2 linked regions of the Stegostoma tigrinum genome follow. The protein of the gene in region 2 purifies or fractionates together with the protein of the main gene of each other region. This does not show direct contact. Links are inferred from orthologs where the notes say so. Each region holds a gene or a part of one and is shown on either strand. Other genes may lie near its edges.

What was found. Proteins that work in one complex are often made in the same cells at the same time.
Region 1: the proteins of POC1 centriolar protein homolog A-like (region 2) and nudc purify together in Homo sapiens (co-immunoprecipitation; 3 studies listed by BioGRID and IntAct, with this or other methods). This does not show direct contact. The link is inferred for Stegostoma tigrinum from reciprocal best matches to the Homo sapiens genes POC1A and NUDC.

Annotation. Positions count from the first base shown.
Region 1 is NC_081377.1:32,944,288-32,955,181, forward strand, and holds the start of nudc (nuclear migration protein nudC), read left to right. Parts: upstream 1-5,912; 5' UTR 5,913-6,040; coding exon 6,041-6,121; intron 6,122-9,395; coding exon 9,396-9,473; intron 9,474-9,640; coding exon 9,641-9,850; intron 9,851-10,894. UniProt on the Homo sapiens protein: Plays a role in neurogenesis and neuronal migration. Necessary for correct formation of mitotic spindles and chromosome separation during mitosis. Necessary for cytokinesis and cell proliferation.
Region 2 is NC_081364.1:22,084,093-22,094,771, reverse strand, and holds the start of POC1 centriolar protein homolog A-like, read right to left. Parts: upstream 4,495-10,679; 5' UTR 4,428-4,494; coding exon 4,413-4,427; intron 1-4,412.

The DNA of each region.
Region 1 (10,894 bases), on a different chromosome or scaffold from region 2:
GTGGTTCATTACACATACTGGAATAAAGACAAAGGCTGTTATAATTACCAGGGTTGAAAAGGATAGCTCCTTTCAAGTACGCATACTCCTTAGGACTAAGATCCAGGCCCCGGAATTTGTTCAGACACATTTTTATTCTGTGTACACCAGCAAGCATTGGCTGCCGACTCCCTTCTTCTTCTGTCCTGAGCAGATTTGGTCCATTCAGCAAGATTCTCCTCAGCATGCTGTGACCTGGGGTCTCTATCACCTCAAAGCTCACTCTATCTTGAGCCAATCCTAACAGAAACAAGGACAGCCGGCAGCTCTCCAGCAGCAGCAGCTGGTCTGATCTGGGAAGATGATGGAATGACGGGAGGTTCCTCATAAAAGCGACTGTCTTTGCCAATACATCGGATACTGCCTGACAGGTAACACGGGGAGTCTTCAAGCAAACCTGACTTCATAGAAGCAGTTGTGATGTGAGAACTTGCAGTCTCCACGTTGGCTCAGGATGGTGTACAAGATTGCATTCTGTCTCTTCCCAGAATCACACTGGCATTTATCAGATAGAACACTGACACAAGCCATAACTGCCTCACTGCCAAACCAGGATCACTCGGAATTTAGCTCTCTGTAATGGTGTTAACAAATTAAATGTAGTTTGAAGTGTTAATTTTAACTGGAAACCAAAATCCTCAAATTCTCTAATGCTTCAAACAACTAGTTTTAGAGCTCTGCTGAACAAGAGTTGGCTGAGAAAAGATCAGGTAGGCTCGGCTACAGCTCCCAATGTAGCACAAGCTTCCACAGGCAGCGAATGAGCTGCTTATACCTGAGACTATTTATATTGTTTCATTTAGAGACTATAAGTGACCTTGGCCAGAAAGAACAAGCAGCTTTCATTGAAAAAAAAGCTCACAGTAACTAATTGGCCCAGGGATGTATCTCTTTGGTGCCGGCCAGCAGCAGATAAGATTTTTTTCAATGAAACAGCAGGTCAGACAGATGGAAGTGGCTTATTTCGATTACCTGATGTTGTGTACACAGACTTGAAACCCACATTGTACCAGTGCACCAAGGACTGCAAGAGGCCAATAACAGAACACCAATCAGGTAAACACAGTTACAGAAAGTGATATCAGGGTAATTAGATAAGGAATATTTGCTGAATGTAGCCTTGAAGCAAATGAACATGTAAACAATTCTATCTGATGTCAGATTACTGTATTATTAATAAAGCAACCACACCCTCACCAAGTGTTCCAAACTGCTATGTTTCAATCAAGCTCATAAGTAGACACGAGTAAATGCACAGCCAGAGAAAGTTCACAGTGTGCAATGTTCTGATTCAAGTTGACTCTATGTTGTTTGCTAATCTTCAATCCAGCAACAGAACTGCTATGATTGACTTCACAGTTGTTGCACCAGAGAGAAGGCAAACTGGATTTTCAGTTCTGATATTTTCAAATAGGTTCATAGTTTTTTTAGTTAGGCTAGTGTATCAAGGCATAAGAAGCAAAGGTAAGAAAAATGAGTCGAGAAACAGATCAACTATGAATTAACAGGATGACAAAACAGATTTGAGGAATTGAGAGACCTCCTTCTGTTCTTATGTTTTCAGTCTCTATTAGAAAATGCCTATGCATAAATATTTTTTCAGAAAGCATTAAGTGACCTCAAATGTATGGAGAAATTTATCTTATCCCAATGAGAACATCGCTTTTAAAATGCAACAGTGCAGGTGAAGCAATCTATGTAAGACAATAGGTGACCACTAGGTATTTCATTGTCTGCAAAACTCTGGAACACATGAAAAAAAAGCCATTTATTAGTAATTGTACAATGCACAACCTCAGGATATACCAAAGTATTTCACCATTGCATTGTAGGAAACAAAGCATCCAAACAGCAGTTTGATAAAGACTGGATAATTTGATTTGAGGTTAAAACCTATGTCGTTCACTGATGCCATTTAGAAAGGAAGCCTACTGCCTTCACCCAGTCTGACCTACAGTTCCAGATCCACATCATTATGATTGACTCTTAACTACTCTCAAGGATTTTTAAAAATTTATTCACTCATGGAATGTGAGCATCTGTGGCTAGGCCAGCATTTATTGCCTATCCCTAATTGCCCAGTTAAAATTTAACCAAATTGCTGTGGGTGTGGAGTCACATGTAGGGCAGATCAAGTAAGGATAACAGATTTTCTTCCCTAAAGAATATTAGTGAATCAGATGGGTTTTCCAACAATCAGCAATTTTTTTTGGTATTAGTGGACCCTTATTCTATATTCATTACTGAATTCAAATTCCACCATCTCCCTTGAACATTAGCTAAATTTATGGATTAATAGTCCAATAATACCACCCCAAAGGTGAGGCATGAACAACAAATGATGCTTTGCTAATTTAACAAGGTGTAGAGCTGGATGAACACGGCAGGCCAGGCAGCATTAGAGGAGCAGGGAAGCGAACATTTCAGGTCTGGACCCTTCTTCAGAAATGGGGGAGGGGAAGGGGGCTCTGAAATAAATAGAGAGGGGGGAAGGCGATGATAGAAGGTGAATAGTGGAGCAGATAGGTGGAGAGAAGACAGACAGGTCAAGGAAGCGGGGATGAAGCCAGTACAGGACGGCATAGGTAGGGAATTGGGATGGTGGTTGGTCAGTGAGGAGCGGATAAGTGGGAGGGAAGACAGACAGGTCAAGGAGGTGGGGATGAGGGAGGGGCTGGTCTTAGGGGTTGGTCGGGAGTGGGGAGATTTTGAAGCTTGCAAAGTGCACATTGAGATGTTTGGGCTGCAGGATTCACAGGTGGAATATGAGGTGGTGTTCCTCCAGTAGCATCATAATGGCACTGGAGGAGGCCCAGGATGGACAAGTTGTTCAAGGAGCGGGAGAGGGAGTTGAAGTGATTCGCAACTGAGAGGTGTTGTCATTCGTCACGAACCGAGTGTAGGTGCTGCACAAAGCAGTCTCCAAGCCTCCGCTTGGTTCCCCTGCTATAGAGGAGGCCACATTGGAAACAATATACCAAATTAATGGACGTGCAGGAGAACATTTGTTAAATATGGAAGGTTTTCTTGGGGCCTGGGATGGAGGTGAGGCGGGAGGTGATGGGGCAGGTACAGCATCTCCTACAGCTGCAGTTGAATGTGCTAGGGGTGGTGGGAATAGTGGAGAGTGTGAAGCGGATGACGGATTCGCAGAGAGAGCAGTCCTTCCAGAAGGAAGATAAGGGTGGGGAGGGAAATATATCCTTGGTAGTGAGGCCAGATTGCAGGTGGCGGAAGTAATGGAGAATGATGCTTTGAATCTGGAGGATGATGGGGTGATAAGTGAGGATATGGGGAATTCTGTCTTTGTTGTTATTGTGGGGAGGGGGTGTGAGGGCTGAGGTGCAGGAAATGCAAGAGATGTGGTCGAGGGCATTTTCGACCACTATGGAGGGGAAATTGCAGCCCTTGAAAAATGAGGACATCTGGGATGACCAGGAGCAGAACACCTCATCTTGGGAGCAGATGCAGCAGAGGTGAAGGAATTGGGAACAGGGGATAGCATTCTTGCAGGAAGGTGGGTGAGGGGAGGTGTACTCTAGGTAGCTGTGGGAGTCGGTGGGCTTGAACTAGATATCAGTTTCCAGGTGGTTACCAGAGATGGAAACAGAGAGGTCCAGGAAGGAGAGAGAAGTATCAGAGATGGTCCAGGTGAACCTAAACTTGGGGTGGAAGGTAGTAGTAAAGTGGATGAACTGTTCGAGTTCCTCATGGTAGTACGAGGCAGCGCTGATACAGTCATCGATGTAATGGATGAAGAGGTTGGGGATGCTGCCAGTGTAGCCACAGAAGAGGAACTGTTTCATGTATCCTACAAAGAGGCAGGCATAGCTTGGGCTCCTGAGGGTACCCATGGCCTTTCGTCTGTAGGAAGTGGAAGGAGTTGAAGGTGAACTTGTGAAGTGTAAGGAGAGTTCAATTAGGCAGATAAGGATGTCAGTGGAGGGGGACTGGTCGGGCCTGCGGGAGAGGAAGAAGCAGAGGGCTTTTAGGCCATCTGCATGGGAATGCAAGCATATAGGAATGGATGTCCACGATAAAGATGGTGTTGAGGACAGGGAATCGGAAGTTTTGGAGGAGGTAGAGGGCACAGGCGGTGTCAGGATGTAGGTGGGGAGTTCCTGGACCATGGGTGAGAAAAAGGAATCGAGATAAGTGGAGATAAGTTCAGTGGGGCAGGAACAGGCAGATACAATGGGTTGACCTGGGCAGTTGTGCTTATTGATTTTGGGTAGGAGATAGATATGGACAGTGTGGGGTTGGGGAACAATGAGGTTGGAGGCTGTGGGTGGGAGGTCACTTGAGGTGATGACGTTTTGGTGGTCAGGGGTAGGGTCATGATCAAGGGGGCGGTAGGAGGAGGTGTCAGAGGGTTGGTGCCTGGTCTCGGCGATGTAGAGGTCAGTGTGCCACGCGGCAACTGTGCCTCCCTTGTCCGCGGGTTTTGTAGTGAGGTTAGGGTTGGAGCAGAGGGCTGCACGTTCTGTGGGGGAGAAGTTGAGGCGATTGATGTCACGATGGCAGTTGGAGACAAAGAGGTTGAGGGAGGGTAGGAGGCCTTGAGGTGGTGTCCAAGAGGATAGGGTGTGTTGGAGGCCTTTCTAATGATGTCTACACCCTATCCATGAAAAAGAAATCATAACTGCTCCCATTATTTGGACAAATGAATTTATCCAGAGAATTTATTCAGAATTCCCAAGTGTTATTAGTGATTACATTTATATCCCCTAATTCTGGCCTCAGCTGCATGTGCTGTATTCCACCTTTCCATAATCTTAAAAGTCATTCTTCAGTCAAAGATTCTCAAACTCTCCTCACACAAGTGAGAGTTACTGACTTACTGCAGTATTAATTACTTTAGAACTCCCACCCTTTGACCTGCTCTGGTTCCTGAGTTATGCCTTTCACAAGCTTCTATATCCTTTTCCTGGCTACTCCCCATTAAAAACAACGTAAAATAGGCGGTACAGTTCTGAAGGGGACGAAGGAGCCGAGTGGCCTGAGTCTATATGTTAAGAAAGCATACTGTGATCTTGTCATTATTAATAAATACATAAAGTTACAGGAGCAGGGAGATGATGTTGCAATTAGACAACAGACTTGTTAGGCCTCAGCTGGAATATTGTGTACAATTGTGGATACAATATTATAGGAAAGATGCGAATGTATTAGAGATAGTGCAGAAGCAATTGACAGGAATGGTTCCAGGAATGATAAGCTTGTGTTGAGAGGATAGATTTAGGTTAAGACTGTTCTCTTCGAAGAAGACGGAGAGGACATCTGATAGAGGCTTTCAAAATCATGAACGGGTTGAATGTAGTAGATAGAGAGAAGTTGTTCCTTCTTACAAAAGAAAGCAATAATAAGAGGTCATAAATTTAAAGTGATGTGCAAAAGATGCAAGGGGTGGGAAAAAAACTTAGTCAGTAGTTAAGACATGGGATGTACTGCCAAGAAATGTGGTTGAGGCATTGGATAATTACTTAGAGACAAGTAACGCGCAGTGTCACAGGCAGAAGGCCTGCCCTAGGGAATAAAATCGAATCAGACACCACGAACTCCTGCGCTGTTACACTTCTGTGAAGAGGCATTTTAACTAACCCCTAGCCAGTTTCGAGCCACACAATCGAGTACGGTGCTTTTATCTAACCAGTTCCGAGATGTTGTTACACACCTCCAGAGCAGACGTTGCCTAACTCAGAGGTAACGAGATTTCTCCTGCACCACAAAGGTCCGCGCCACTGAGGCTTTTGTTGAGGCACGGGTTGCTAGGGCCCTATTCTTGAATGTTCCATAGTGACCGCGCCCCCCCATGCCACACAAACCTTCAATCTATTGGTTTGACGTCACACGTCGTGATTCGACGCGTCTGATGATTGGCTGAAAAACATGTCCATCAACACTTGACCTCGGCGGCACGACTTCCGGGTGAGTGATTCGGGGCCTGTAACGCGTGGTTGATCCGTCAGCCTGAGGGGAGCAGCGCTGATTCCGAGAAAGGATGGGGGACTCATCCGGCGAGGATCGTTTCGATGGCATTCTGCTGGCAATGGCCCAGCAACATGAAGGAGGCGTTCACCAGGTATGAAGGAGATACTGCCCTACCCCGGTGTGGGCCGATTCCCCACCCCCACCGTGGGTATATCCCACTTGCCGCCTCTACTCCGTTCCGCTTGATGTGGTTGGATTCGCTACTTCTTCACCCACCTTTTCACCTGGGAGTATATATTCCTCTTTCCGCACTCCCTATATTTAACCAGATGTAGGGAATAGATTTGCTTTCATCCCCCACCCCCAACAGCCGTCACTAGAAAGGAGAGGAGTGAATCCTTAACATCCCCGCCAACCCATTTCATTCTTCTTTCTGCAGCCCCTTATATTCTGCTTGGGGTTGGATCGTCCACCCTACTGACTTTCCGGGGGGGTGGGGGCAAGCGGGAATGAAGGAGAGAAAGCGGATTCTCGACATATCCCCCACCCCCAACCATCTGGAGTATAACCCTCTTTCTGCACCACGGCTACCCTTATATTCTGCTTTGGGACGGGGCAAGGGGGTGAATCTTTTAAAACGCGTTAATTTTTCTTGTGGCGGATCCTGTAATTTCTTCCACCTTCGTTCTGCCAGGGGGTAGATCTCCCCCAGTTCCCAGTGTCTGGGAACATCTGCCCAGTGGTAAAAATAAAGACAGACTTAAGACCTTTGGCATCTCAACGACTTTGCAGCGTACTTAATATTTAATATAGGAAATGGTTTTGGTAAACTTCATGTATTAACTTCAACAAACAATAATAAATGATTGCCGACTCAATGTCCCTGTAGTTGAGGGATAAATATTGACCAGAATCGCATAGGATGTTTCCTTGTTTTAAATCAAAATATCCATCCAATCTTTACCCCCCCCACCCACCCACCCAAGAGGTGTTACCCGCTAACAGAGAGACTGGAAGCATCAATCTGGATTATGACTTAAGTCTTTGAAGTGATATTTGAACTCATGTCCTTCTAACATGCCTGATTTTGTTATTTCGGATTCTCCAGCATCTGCAGTTCCCATTATCTCTAATACAATTTTAACCCCACTGCGAAGTCTCTTCTAGGGATGCCTAACGTGAAGAAGTTATCCTCCTCCCTCTGGACAAACCTCAGGGGATCTCTTTCCCACTGCAACTCTCTTGTAATCTTCGATCCGCTTCCCTCTCGTTCCCTATTTATTTCAGAACCTTCTCCTCCTCTCCCTTTTCTGATGAAGGGTTTAGGCCTGAAACACCAACTTTTGTGCTCCTGAGATGCTGCTTGGCCTGCTGTGTTCATCCAGGTCTACACTTTGTTATCTTGGATTCTCCAGCATCTACAGTTCCCATTATCTCTCTCAATTCTCTGGTGGTTGGTTTTGGTCAGTTTTTGCCATTGAGCCTGCCTGAATGTTGTATCCAATCTGTTATGTATTGTCTCTGCCTCCATCAGTAGGAGTATTCCCTTTATTTACTGGTGTAACCACTGGTGATGACAGTACGCCTGCTAGAGAGTGAAAGAGAAGTTTAATGGTGGTCTAGGCCCGAAATGTCAGCTTTCCTGCTCCTGTGATGCTGCTTGGCCAGCTGTGTTCATCCAGCCCTACACCTTGTTATCTTTAATGGTGAAATGTCCAGTTCACTGTGGTCATTTGAGGGAAATGATAGAGTTTGCTGTATGTCATCTACTGCCTGTACCATGTACTTCACCGAGCAGGACACTGCGATCTGTGCCTCAAGCTGCACTCAAACATCAAACAACTTAAAATTGATTTATTTCCAAGCTGACGTGGGTGATGCTGGCTGGGCCAGCATTTATTACCCATTTCTAGTTGCCTTTGAAGGTGGTGGTGAGCTGCCCACTTGAACTGCTGCAATCCATTTGGTGTAGGTCTATTAATGGTCCAATGCCATTAGGAAGGGAATTCCAAGAGTTTAACTCAACACCGAAGGGACAGCAATATTTTTCCAGGTAACGATGTGAGTAGATTGGAGGGAAGCTTGCAGGTAGTGGTGTTCATATGTATCTGCTGTCCCTGCCCTTGTCAAAGGTAAAAGTTTGGAAGACTGTGTCTGAACAGGGTTGGTGCATTTCTGTGTTGCTTCTCATTGATGGTACACACTGCTACTCCTGTGTCTCACTGGTAGAGGGAGTGAATATTTGTGGATGTGGTGCCAGTTAAGCTGGCTGCTTTGTCCTTTTTGGTGTTTCATGTCTTGTTGGAAGTGTATTCATCTGAACAAATGAAGACAATTCCACCACACACCTGACTTGTGCCTTGTAGATAGTGGCCAGGTTTTGGGAAGTAAGGATGTGAGTTACTCTTTGTCTGATTCCTAACCTATTACCTCATTTTGTAGCCACGGTATTTATATGGCTAATCCAGTTAACTTTCTGGTCAATGGTAACCCACAAGATGTTGATAATGGGGGTTTCATTGGTTATGCCATTGAATGCCAGGGCTCTTGGTTAGATTCTGTTTTATTGTAGATGATAACTTGTGTGACCTGGCTGCTTGCTAGTTGTCAGCCCAAACCTGGATATTATTCAGGTCTTGCTGCCTTTGGATATGGACTACTTCAGATTCTGAAGAGTTGTCCATGGTATTCAAGGTGAACAGATTATTGCATTGCAAGTGCTGTTTGATAACACTACTGATTACCTTTTCTGTCACTTCACTGAAGATTAACAGCACGGTAACTGGCCAGGTTGAAATTTGTTTTGTGTACAGGACATACCTGGGTGATTTTTCATATTTGGGTGTTAATGTTTCTAAGGGGCATTTGTAGTGTTGATAAGTCTGTTTGATGATGTTTGTAGTGCCTTAGTTGATGCCAGGTGTCCAGCTTCATTCCGTCTTTTTCCTTTCTGGAGGCTGATAAAGGTGAGACCAGTTAAGAATCACACACATTGCTGTGGGTCTAGGGTTGCTCGTAAACCAGAACAGATAATGTTGGCAGTTTCAGAAATTCTGGAAAAGCTCAGCAGGTCTTGCAGCGTCATGGAGGAAGAATCATCAGACCTGAAATGTTAACTCTGATTCTTCACAGATGCTGCCAGATCTGCTGAGCTTTCCCAACAATTTCTGTTTGTTACTGATTTACAGCACTTGCAGTTCTTTTGCTCTTAAGATTGGCAGTTTGCTTCACTAAAACATATTAATGAACCAGGTACATTTTTACAAAAAAATTGACAGTGGTTTATGGTCCCCATGAGACTTTGAGTTCAGATTTCATTGGATTCCAATTCTATGGTGGGATTCAGACTCGAATGTACATCAGGTAACCTTTTCAAGTGTAGTGGGTCTAATTAAGAGCGTAAGCTTTTTGTTTCTCCCCCCCAGCTTGTGGATACATTCTTCAGTTTTCTGAGGCGCAAAACCGACTTCTTTACTGGTGGAGAGCAGGGAGCAGCTAACAAAGTGAGTACTTGGGAGTTTCATTATATCTCCATTTCTCTGAGGGTGGGGGATTGCTCCTCATTTTCATTTCTCAATTCAATTTCCCACTGGTAATTTTCCCGACCTCTTTAGTGTATTAATGGTGTAATCCCACTTAACTGATAATTTTGATCATGTGTTTTCCACAGTTGGTCACAGACACTTTCAAACGCCACCATAAATTAGCAATACAGGTTCAGATGGAGAAGGAGGTGAAAAAGGAAGCAGAGAGAAAAGAAAAATTGGAACGGGCAAAGCTTATACAAGAGAAGGAGAAATCTGAACCAGAACTGAAGCAGCCAAAGATCAAGGAGCTGACTAATGAGGAGGCAGAGAAATTGCAGAAGGAGATTGACCAGGTGAGTACATCATCTAATGACCAATTGCACCATTAGAATTGGTGTATGGAATTAGGAGACAGGAGTAGGGCTAATGGCATGCAGTTGTGTTAAGATGTGAATAATGCACAGGGATCTTGAAGCTTCAATGTAAACGAATAACTTTTGAAGTGATAGAAAACTAAACCTAAATTGACCGATGATACCAAGTTAGTTGGCACTGTTAATAATGCAGACAAGAGCAAAAAGGTGCAGGAAAGTAGATAAGATCTTTTTTTCTTAAATGGTGAGAAGCTATGAACTCCAGAGGAGTAGAAGGTTTAATGGTTTCAAATATAAATAACTGAAAAGGGTTATGTTCTCAGAGATAATGGGAACTGCAGATGCTGGAGGATCCAAGATAATAAAGTGTGAGGCTGGATGAACACAGCAGGCCAAGCAGCATCTCGGGAGCACAAAAGCTGACGTTTCGGGCCTAGACCCTTCATCAGAGCAGTTATGTTATCTTAAGTTTACATAAAACCCTTAGTACATCCCATTTTTCATATTGCATTTTAAGTTCAGATAGAGAGAAATTACTTCCTCTGGACAGTCCAGACCAAGAAAATAACTTTAAAATTAGATATAAAACAGAAAATACTTTGGTCTGATAACTCTATTCCTCACTTCACAGATGTCAACATTTCAAGTTTAATGTCTTGTTCTGATGAAAGGACATTGACCTGAAATGTTACTCCTTCATTCTCGCCACAGATGCCGCCAGTCCTCCTGAGTATTTATGTCACTTCACTTTTATTTCAGATTTCCAACATTCAACATATTTTATTTCTGCTTAAAAGTTAAACTCACAACTGAGGTCAGGAGGTACTTTTCATTCAAAGCATAATGGAAATTTTGCGGTCGTCCCCTACAAAGTGCTGTTAAGGTTGGAGGTCATTTGAAAATTTTGAAAACAGGGATTGATAATTTCATTAAACAGAAGTTTTAAGAGTGGAACATCGTTGGTAATAGCAGAGTAGCAAATCAGCCATGGTGTAGTTGAATGGTAGAACAGGCCAGAGGGGT
Region 2 (10,679 bases):
CCACCCCTCCCCCCCCCCCCCCACCACCCCTCGACCCCCCCCACCCCCTCCCCCACCCTCCCCCTCCCCACGACCCCCGCCCCCCCATCCCCCCCACCCCCGCCCCCCTCCCCCCCACGCCCCCCTCCCCCTCCCCCGCCCCCTCCCCCACCCCCCTCCCCCCCGCCCCCCTCCGCCCCACGCCCCCCAGCCCCCTCCCCGCTCCCGCCCCTCCCCCCCTACCCCCACGCCCCCTCCCCCTCCCCCCCCCCCCCCCTCCACGCCCCCCTCCCCCCCCACTCCCCCTCCCCCTCCCCCACCCCCCCCTCTCCCTCGCCCCCGCCCCCGCCCCCTCCCCCCTCCCCCTCGCCCCACCCCCCCCTCTCACGCCCCCCGCCCCCCCCCTCCCCCCTCCGCTCGCCCCCCCCCCCCACTCACGCCCCCCCTCCCCCCCACTCCCCCCGCCCCCCTCGCCCCCCCGCCCACTCCCTCCCCCCTCCTCCCCCACCTCCCCCCTCCCCCCGCCCACCCCCCCTCACTCGCCCCCTCCCCCCACTCGCCCCCTCCCCCTCCCCCCCCCTCCCCCCCCCAGCCCCCCCTCGCCCCCCCTCCCCCCCCCACCCCCCCTCCACCCCGCCCCCTCGCCCCCCGCCCCACCCTCCCCCACCCCCCACCTCCCCCCTCGCCCCTCGCCCCCTCACGCCCCCCGACCCCGCCCCACTCCCCCCTCCCCCGCCCCCCCCCACTCGCCCCCCCCCCCGCCCCCCTCGCCCCGCCCCCCCTCCCCCCACTCACGCCCCCCACCCCCCACGCCCCCCTCCCCCCACTCACTCCCCCCTCCCCCCCAACTCCCCCCTCCCCCGCCCCACCCCCCCACTCACTCCCCCCTCCCCCCCAACGCCCCCCCTCCCCCTCCACCACCCCCCCACCCTCTCGCCCCCCTCCCCCCCAACTCCCCCCTCCCCCTCGCCCCCCCCCCCCACTCACTCCCCCCTCCCCCCCAACTCCCCCCACCCCCTCCACCACCGCCCCCCACTCCCTCCCCCCCTCCCCCCCACTCCCCCCTCCCCCTCCACCACGCCCCCCCACTCACTCCCCCCTCCCCGCCCACCTCCCCCCCTCCCCCTCCACCACCCCCCCACTCTCTCCCCCCGCCCCCCCAACTCCCCCCCACGCCCCTCCCCACCCTCGCCACTCACGCCCCCCTCCCCCCCAACTCGCCCCCGCCCCCTCCACCACCCCCCCACTCACTCCCCCGCCCCCCCAACTCCCCCCTCCCCCTCCACCACCTCCCCCCTCTCTCCCCCCTCGCCCCCCAACTCCCCCTCCCCCGCCACCACCTCCCCCACTCACTCCCCCCTCCCCCCCAACGCCCCCCTCGCCCCCTCCCCCACCCCCCGCACCACTCACGCCCCCCTCCCCCCCAACGCCCCCCGCCCCCTCCCCCACCCCCCCACGCACTCCCCCCTCCCCCCCACTCCCCCCTCCCCCCCACTCCCCCGCCCCCCAACTCCCCCCCTCCCCCTCGCCCCCCTCCCCCCTCCCCTCGCCCCCACGCCCCCCACTCTCCCCTCCCCCTCGCCCCCCTCCCCCGCCACCCTCGCCACCCCCACGCCCCTCCCCTCCCCCCCCTCCCCCACCCCCCACGCACGACCCCGCCCCCTCCCCAACCCCCCCTCTCACTCCCCCCGCCCCCACTCACTCCCCGCCCCATCCCCCACTCAGCTCGCCCCCCTCCCCCCCAACTCGCCCCCTCCCCCACGCTCTCCCCCCTCCCCCCCACTCGCCCCCGCCCCCACTCTCGCCCCCCGCCCCCCCTCTCGCCCCCTCGCCCCCCACCTCGCCCCCGCCCCCTCGCACGCCCCCTCCCCACTCGCTCGCCCCCTCCCCCACTCACTCGCCCACTCCCCCCCACTCGCCCCCGCCCCCCCTCACTCCCCCCGCCCCCCCTACTCCCCCCTCCCCCTCGCACTCCCCCCTCCCCCCAACTCGCCCCCTCCCCCTCCCCCCTCACTCCCCACTCCCCCTCTCCGCCTCCCCCCGCCCCCCCTACGCCTCCCGCCCCCCTCCCCCCAACGCCCCCCTCCCCCCTCCCCCAACTCCCCCCGCCCAACTCCCCCCGCCCCCTCACCCACTCACTCCCCCTACGCCTCCGCCCCCCTCCCCCCCAACGCCGCCCTCCCCCTCCCCCAACGCCGCCCGCCCCCCCCTACTCCTCCCGCCCCCCACTCGCCCCTCCCCCTGCCCCCCAACTCCCCCTGCCCCCCACTCGCCCCTCCCCGCCCCCCACTCGCCCCCGCCCCCTCCCCCAACTCCGCCCTCCCCCCAACTCCGCCCGCCCCCGCCCCCAACTCCGCCCTCCCCCCAACGCCGCCCTCCCCCGCCCCCCAACGCCGCCCGACCCCCTACGCCTCCCTCCCCCCACTCGCCCCGCCCCCTCCCCCCAACTCCCCCTGCCCCCCTACGCCCCCCTCCCCCGCCCCCCAACGCCTCCGCCCCCCAACTCCGCCGCCCCCCCAACGCATCCCTCCCCCGCCCCCCCCAACTCTCCGCCCGCCCACTCGCCCCCGCCCCCTCCCCCCACTCCCCCCGCCCCCGCCCCCCACTCCCCCGCCCCCCGACGCCCCCATGGCCCCCCGCCCCCGCCCCCGCCCCCCCGACGCCCCCCCGCCCCCCCCGACTCCCCCCTCCCCCTCCCCCCAACTCCCCCTCCCGCCCCCCCTCCCCCCGCACTCCCCCCGCCCCCTCCCCCACCCCCCCACTCTCGCCCCCCGCGCCCCCAACTCGCCCCCTCCCCCACCCCCCCACTCACTCCCCCCGCCCCCTCCCCCAACCCCCCACTCACTCCCCCCTCCCCACTCACTCCCCCCCGCTCCCCCACCCCCCCACTCACTCCCCCCTCCCCTCCCCCAACCCCCCCCACTCGCCCCCCGCCCCCACTCGCTCCCCCCTCCCCCCTCACTCCCCCCTCCCCCCCTCACTCGCCCCCTCCCCCCCAACGCCCCCCGCCCCCCAACGCCCCCCGCCCCCACTCACTCCCCCCGCCCCCCACTCCCCCCGCCCCCACGCACGCCCCCGCTCCCCCACTCACGCCCCCCTCGCCCCCCAACTCCCCCCTCCCCCTCCCCCAATGCACTCCCCACTCCCCCATCTCCTCCTCCCCCCGCCCCCCAACTCCCCCCTCCCCCCTCCCCCACTCACTCCCCACTCCCCCAACGCCTCCTCCCCCCGCCCCCCGCCCCCCAACGCCCCCCTCCCCCCGCCCCCACTCGACTCCCCACTCGCCCCAACTCCTCCGCCCCCCGCCCCCCGCCCCCCAACTCGGCCCGCCCCCCGCCCCCCAACTCCCCCCCGCCCCCCGCCCCCAACTCCCCCATCCCCCCGCCCCCACTCACTCCCCACTCCCCCTACGCCTCCCGCCCCCCTCCCCCCAACGCCCCCCTCCCCCACGCACTCCCCACGCCCCCACTCGCCGCCGCCCCCCGCCCCCCAACTCCGCCCCCCCTCCCCCCTCCCCCCAACTCCTCCCTCCCCCCCCCCGCCCCCAACTCCGCCCTCCCCCCACGCGCCCCTCCCCCTCCCGCCCACTCCCCCCGCCCCCCAACTCCTCCCTCCCCCCACTCCCCCCTCCCCTCCCCCCCCGACTCCCCCCATTCCCCCCTCCCCCCGACTCCCCCCTCCCCCTCCCCCCCCGACTCCCCCCTCCCCCATCCCCCCTCCCCCCCGACTCCCCCATCCCCCCTCCCCCCCCGACTCCCCCATCCCCCCTCCCCCCCGACTCCCCCCATTCCCCATCCCCCCTCCCCCCCGACTCCCCCCATTCCCCATCCCCCCTCCCCCCCGACTCCCCCCATTCCCCATCCCCCCTCCCCCCTACGCCCCAGTCCCCCTCCCCCTACTCCCCATCCTAACCCCTACTCCCCATCCTCCCCCCCCTACTCCCCATCCTCCCCCCTACTCCCCATCTCCCCCCTACTCCCCATCCTCCCCCCCTACTCCCCATCCTCCCCCCTACTCCCATCCTCCCCCCCTACTCCCCATCTCCCCCCTACTCCCCATCCTCCCCCCTACTCCCCATCTCCCCCCTACTCCCCATCCTCCCCCCCTACTCCCCATCCTCCCCCCCTACTCCCCATCCCCCCCTTCTCTCCCCTACTCCCCATCCCCCCCTTCTCTCCCCTACTCCCCATCCCCCCCTTCTCTCCCCTACTCGCTCTCACCCCCTCCCCCCCCCCCGCCCCACTCCGTCGCCTACTCCCTTCCCGCTTTGTCTCCCCTCCTTCGTTCTCCCCCCCGCCCCCCCAACCCATCCACTTCCAAACACGCGGGTTTGCCGTAGGCCTCGGCCGCTTGGCAGGTCCTGGCTTCCCCGGAACCCCAACGGGGAATGAACCTGAATAATGTGGGGTTGGGGGGTCGAGCAGGATACCTACCAGTCCGGTGCTCATCTTGTCTCCTGGGCTAGAGTCAGGGCCACTACCGACCAGGTCCAACGCTCCCGCCGTCTCCCTGGTTACCCCGCCGCCGCCGCCAGGCCACACCCCTCCCTGCCTTAAAGGTACAGGTCACATTCCAGTCTGCCGATTTATACATCAGTTACTGACAAACATCTCAAACCAGAAATTGAAACAAAGGTTGCTCTTGTGGTACTGCTCGAACAGTGGTACCTGCTCCAAAACATTTCTGGACAGTTCGATGAGAAAATGTTCAGAAGACCATGGGCCAAGTGCTGAACAATGGGATTAGAATAAATGGATGTTTGATAACCAGTATGGGCATAATGCGCAGAAGAGTTTCTTTCTGTGCTGTAAATTCTCTACCTATCTATCTAAAATTTGCCTCTGAAGGGGCCTATAGCAGCATAGTGTTTCCTACGTTCGGGCCAGGTAGTTCAGCTTAAAATTCCAGCTGTCACACAAAGCAGACCATAACATTTCTGAGCAGCTTGATACTTTGAAGTTATGTTTTCCTCCAAGTTACCTCTCATAACGAGGAAAAGTTTCTTGTTAGCACATTGAATGAATCAGAGGATGAAGTGGATCTAGGGAACAGTGTAATTCCAAGCCAGCGTAAAGTAGTGCTTTTGGAGAGAGAGGTCGAGAGTGTGCATATGGCGACGCATGAAATTGAGTGTGGATCCGAGGATGCAGCGAGAATAGCTGTGTGGAACATTGAACATCACAGAAATATCTGTGGTCCCGGATGGCTTCAAAACACAAAGGATGAAACTTGAGTTGGAATCCACATGGGATAAGTAGAGCTGGAGGCAGTCACCTCCAGTGGGATGTCGGCACCAAACACCCTCCCCTCCCTTGTCAGCCTTCTGCAATGACCATTCCTTTTGGAACACTTTGTCCACTCTTCCTTCACTCCCACCAAGCCCCCAGAGTCTCACGGCACCTTACCCTGCAACCGTTTACTTTCTCCCGCCTCAGTATCCAAGGGCGCAAACGCACCTTCCAGGTGAAACAGCGCTTTACGTGCACTTCACTCAATTTGATCTACAGCATTCGTTGCTCACAGTGTGGTCTCCTCTACACTTGGGAAATGAAGCACAGACTGGGCGACCACATCGCAGAACATCTACGTTCGGCCTGCAAAAATAAAACCTGATCTTCTGGTCACCCGACTCTTCAACACATCACCTTGTTCCATGACCAACATCTCTGACTCAGGCTTGCTGCAGTGCTCCTGAAAAACTCAGTACATGTTGGAAGAACAGAGCCTCATATTCCCCTTGGGAACTCTATTGCTTTTGAGACTCAGCACTGACTTCAACAATGTTAGGACTGGAGGCAACTTCTCCCCTGTCCTTATCCTAACCTCCACACAGCAGGCCTTGTTAACACATGGTCTGCTACACACACTGCCAATGGTTAGCCACTAATAGCCCACCATGCATTCTCCCAGGCTGACTGTTATCCACTCCTTTGTCTGTCCAAATGTTCTTGTCTGTCTTTGGGCTATATCTCCACTTATTGTTTACTCCTTACTCTGTCCCCCCACCATGTCTTCTGCAAGAAAATGGAGCATCAATGAGGCGAAGAATGTCATGGATAGCACGTTTAGTGAGCTGGTCACACCATCACTGAGACTATGTCGACAGAAAAGAGTTGAGTGACCACGAGGAAGACAAGTAAGCACAGGCAGCAGTGTTGTAGTCACCGGTGGCCTTTCCCCTCTCACATCCATGTACCGTGTTGGATACTGTTGGGGAGTGGATGGGTGTGGCCTTTCAGGGGAAAGCAACAGCAGCAGCCAGATCTGTGACACCACAATTGGCCTCTGTTTTACAGCATGGAGGGTCGAAGTATAGGCATGCTGGGGACTCTGTAGTCAGGGGCACAGATAGGTGTTTATATGGCTGTCAGCAAGAGTCCAGGATGGTGTGTTCCCTCCCCAGTGCCATGGTCAATGATGTCCCTGAGCGGGCACAGGATATTCTGAAGGGGGACAGTAAGCAGCTCGAAATAGTAGTACATACTGGTACTGATGACATAGGCAAAATGAAATTAGGTCCTGCGTAGGGAATTTAGGACGTTAAGTAGAACGTTGAAAAGCAGATCCTCTAGGGTTACACTTACAGAATTGTTCCCTCTGCCATATTAGTGAGGCCAGAAATAGGAATATAATACAATTGAAAGGCATGGAAAAAGAGAGATGGTTTCAGATATCCGGATCATTGGGATCTCTTCCAGGGGAGGTACAAGAAGGATGTGTTGCTGTTAAAGTGGAGGGCACCAATATTCTTTCATGGAGATTTGTTAGCGCCATTTGGAGGGTATAAACTAGTGTGGCAGAGAGGTGGGAAAACCAGAGCAGTCGGTCAACATGTGGAGTGTTTGAGGAGGAGAGGAGCTAAATCAAGTAAATCAAGGAGGAACGATAGACAGGATCAATTTTGGGGGAAGACTGATGACAATGTATTCAGCAGGAACTGGAAAAATTGGATTGAGGGCAGCTGTTTGCAGGTAAATCCACATCTGAAATAGGATTCTTTTAAAAGCCAGTTGACTAGAGTTCAGGACCAGCTTGTTCATGTGAGGATGAAAGCTAAGAATGGCAAGATTCAGGAACCTTGGATAACAAGATATGTTGTAAGTTTAGTTAAAAAGGAAGAGGAAGCATGTGTAAGATTTGGAAAACTGAGAGCAAACAAGGACCTTGTGGAGAATAAAGAAAGCAGAAAGGAACTTAACAGAAGAAATTAACAGGGCTAGAAGGGGCCATGAAATGCCCTTGGTAAGTAGGGTTAAGGAGATTCCCAACAGTATTTTATATGTATATTAGGAGCCAGAAGTACCTAGGCAAAGGGTAGGTTCATTCAAGAACAAAAGAGGGCATTAAGATGTAGAGCGAAAGGAATTGGGTGAGGTCCTTAATAAGTATTTCACAATGGTACTCGTCAAAGATAAAGGCATGGATGATGGTAAGTTTAGAGAGGGGTTTGTTGATGCATTGTTTGTTGATATTAAGAAGGAGAAGTTGTCATGAAAAACATTAAGGTAGAAAAGACTTCAGTGCCTGATGAAATTTATTCCAGGATACTGAGGGAAGCAAGGGTGAAGGTTTCTGGCACCTTGACAGAGATGTTTGTATGGTCTTTAGCCATTGACAAGGTCCCAGAAAACTGGGGAATAGCCAAAGTTGTTCCTTTGTTTAAGAAGACAGCAGGACTAATCCAGGAAATTATAGGCTAGTGACTGTTACATCAATGGTATAGAAATTAATGGAGAAAATTCTTAGAGACAGCATTTAATTACATTTGGAGAGCAATAGACTTATTAGGGATAATCAGCATGGCTTTATGTGGGGGAGGTCTTGTCTCACAAACTTGAATGTGTTTTTTGATTAAATGATTGTCGAGGGTAAGCCAGTGGATGTTGTTGACGTGGACTTTATTTGACAAGATCTCATGGTGGTCTGGTCCAGAAGATTAAATCGCATGGACTCCATGGTGAGTTGGTACATTGGATGCAAAATTGGCTTGGCCGCAGAAGACAAAGGGCAGTCGAAGAGAGGTGTTTTCTGACTGCAGATCTGACTGACCAGCGGTGTTCCACAAGGAACAGTGCTTCAATTTGCATTGTTTGTAATATATATAAATGATTTGGGTGAAAATGCAGGTGGTCTAATTAATAAGCTTGCAGATGAAATGGAAATTGGAGGCATTGTGGATAATAAAGAGTGATAACAAACAATAGAGAGGGATATACATCAATTAGAAAGACGTAGACAAAAAGAAACTCCATGTTTACCTTCAAATAGTGATTAGAGGAAATCTCTCCGAAGTTATTTGGAGTGTCTCAGAAATAGCTACGTTTTGAAACCAGGGATTTCCATGTTTAAATTTGAGAGAAATTAACACACATTAAGTACAGAAAAGTTATTATCTTCTACCAATAGTATCAAATTATACTTTAGAAACAGTTCATTCCTGTTCAGATATACTGTATTTAATTACTGCATACTGAAATCTATGTGGTGAAATGGATGCTCAGATTTATTTACCCATTCATTATAAATTTATAGAGCACTACCCATGTTATCCAAATCCAAAATAATTAATTCCACTTGTACAAGTTATTATCTACTTAGACGCATGCACAAGCAAAAAGAGATCAATATATAGATGCATTCCCCATCCTCAGACAGAAGGTCATTATAGAACAAAGGATAACTTCTCGTTATTCACAGTCTCAAGAGGGAGACACACACAGAAAAATCAATTTTCTACTAATATTGTTGTGCCTCAAACCAGTCACCCAAAGGCTTAGGAGCATTAGGCCATTTGGTCCATTGAGTCTGCAGAGACATTCAATGTGATCACAGTTGATCTGATAATTCTCAACTCCACTGCCCTCCTTTTCCTTGTATCCCATGATTCCCTTACTGATTAAAAATCTGTCTGCCTCAGCCTTGAATATACTGAAATACACAGCCAACAACCCACTGCAGGACTGAAATCCAGAGATTCATGACTCCCTGAGGGAGAAAAAATAATCGTCCTCACCTTTGTTCCACTTGGACAATCCCTTACTCTACTTATGCCCTCTGGTCCGAGACCTCCCACAATGGAAACAATGATGTTGTTGTAGCACTGAGATAATAGGAACTGCAGATGGTGGAAAATCCAAGATAACAAGATGTAGAGCTGGATGAACACAGCAGGCCAAGCAGCATCTTAGGAGCAGGAAAGCTGGTTTTCTGTCAGTTTACCTCTGACTTCGAAGCGGTTTGAATTGCTGTTAGGTCCTGTTCTGGACACTGGACTTATTAATCAGGATGCAACGAGAAGGCACCAGATAGATGTTCATGGGCAAAAGAATCTCTGTTTATTTATATAAACAACAAGGCAACACCAATACAAAAAAAGTGACATAACACACTATTATAATAAAATGTGAGGCTGGATGAACACAGCAGGCCAAGCAGCATCTCAGGAGCACAAAAGCTGATGTTTCGGGCATTGACCCTGCTCACCGCTCCAAATGTGGTTTCAAGATTCACCGAAAGCAGTTGCTCTAGCTTGTCATATCCCAGATGTGGTAGGGGACTCATTGCTGCGCAACCGCTCAGTCTGGGTTGAGTCTGCTGATACAGGTAGACACATATTGGATCTATCGTGTCAGTACTTGGGTTTTCTTTAGTTATGCTGGTCTGTTGAGTTTAGGTTTCACCTCAGTTGTGCTTGAGGACTTGTAATGTCAGTTGGGTTACTTGGTACTCAAAATCTGTCGGATTTACTTCTTGGCGTGGTCGGTTGTGATGTTTATTGAAGTTTGTTGTCGCTTTGCAAATACAGTCCCTCGGTGTTTCTGTCTTCTGTTTCTATGAGAGATCGGGGCCTTTAGTTATACTAATTGCAGGGCCTCCGTAATCTCTGCACCAATCTCCAGGCCCATTTGTCTTTCCAGTATTTTCTTTGCGAGTTCAATTGGCTTAACTGGATTCTCTATGCTTGGAAGAGATGTTAATGGTTTTGAATGATGTCAAATACTGGATGATTATTACAGTAGTCCTTGTGGCTCCACACTGTCTCCATGAGTATCTTCAGTGGGCCAAGCTCATCCTCACTCTAAGCAACCTCTCATTTAACTCTGAGATAATGGGAACTGCAGATGCTGGAGAATCCGAGATAACAAAGTGAGGAGCTGGATGAACACAGGAGGCCAAGCAGCATCTTAGGAGCACAAAAGCAGACGTTTCAGGCCTAGAACCTCTTTTAACTATTCTCATTTCCTTCAGGTCAGAGGGTTGGTCATGGGTACCTGCATGGGCCCTAGTTATACCTGTGTCTTTGTGGGGTATGTGGAACTTTCCCTGTTCTAGTCCTATTCCAGCCCCCACCCACTACTGTTTCACTGATATATCAATGATATCATTGGTGCTGCTTCCCTCTCTCATCCAAATTTGGAAAAGTTCATCAATTCTTGCTCGCAGTTTTCACCCCGCTCTCACTCTCACCTGGTTGATCTCTGTCTTCTCCCTTCGCTTCTTCGACATCTCTGTTTCCATTTCTGAGAATAGACTGGCTGCTAATATCCACTATAAACTCACTAACTCCCAGAGCTGCCTGGACAATACATCCTCATGCCTTGCTTCCTATAAAAATGCTATCCCATTCTCTCAATTCCTCCGTCTCTGTCGCACATGTTCCTACGAGGCCAAGTTCAATAAGACAGCCTCTGAACTGTCCA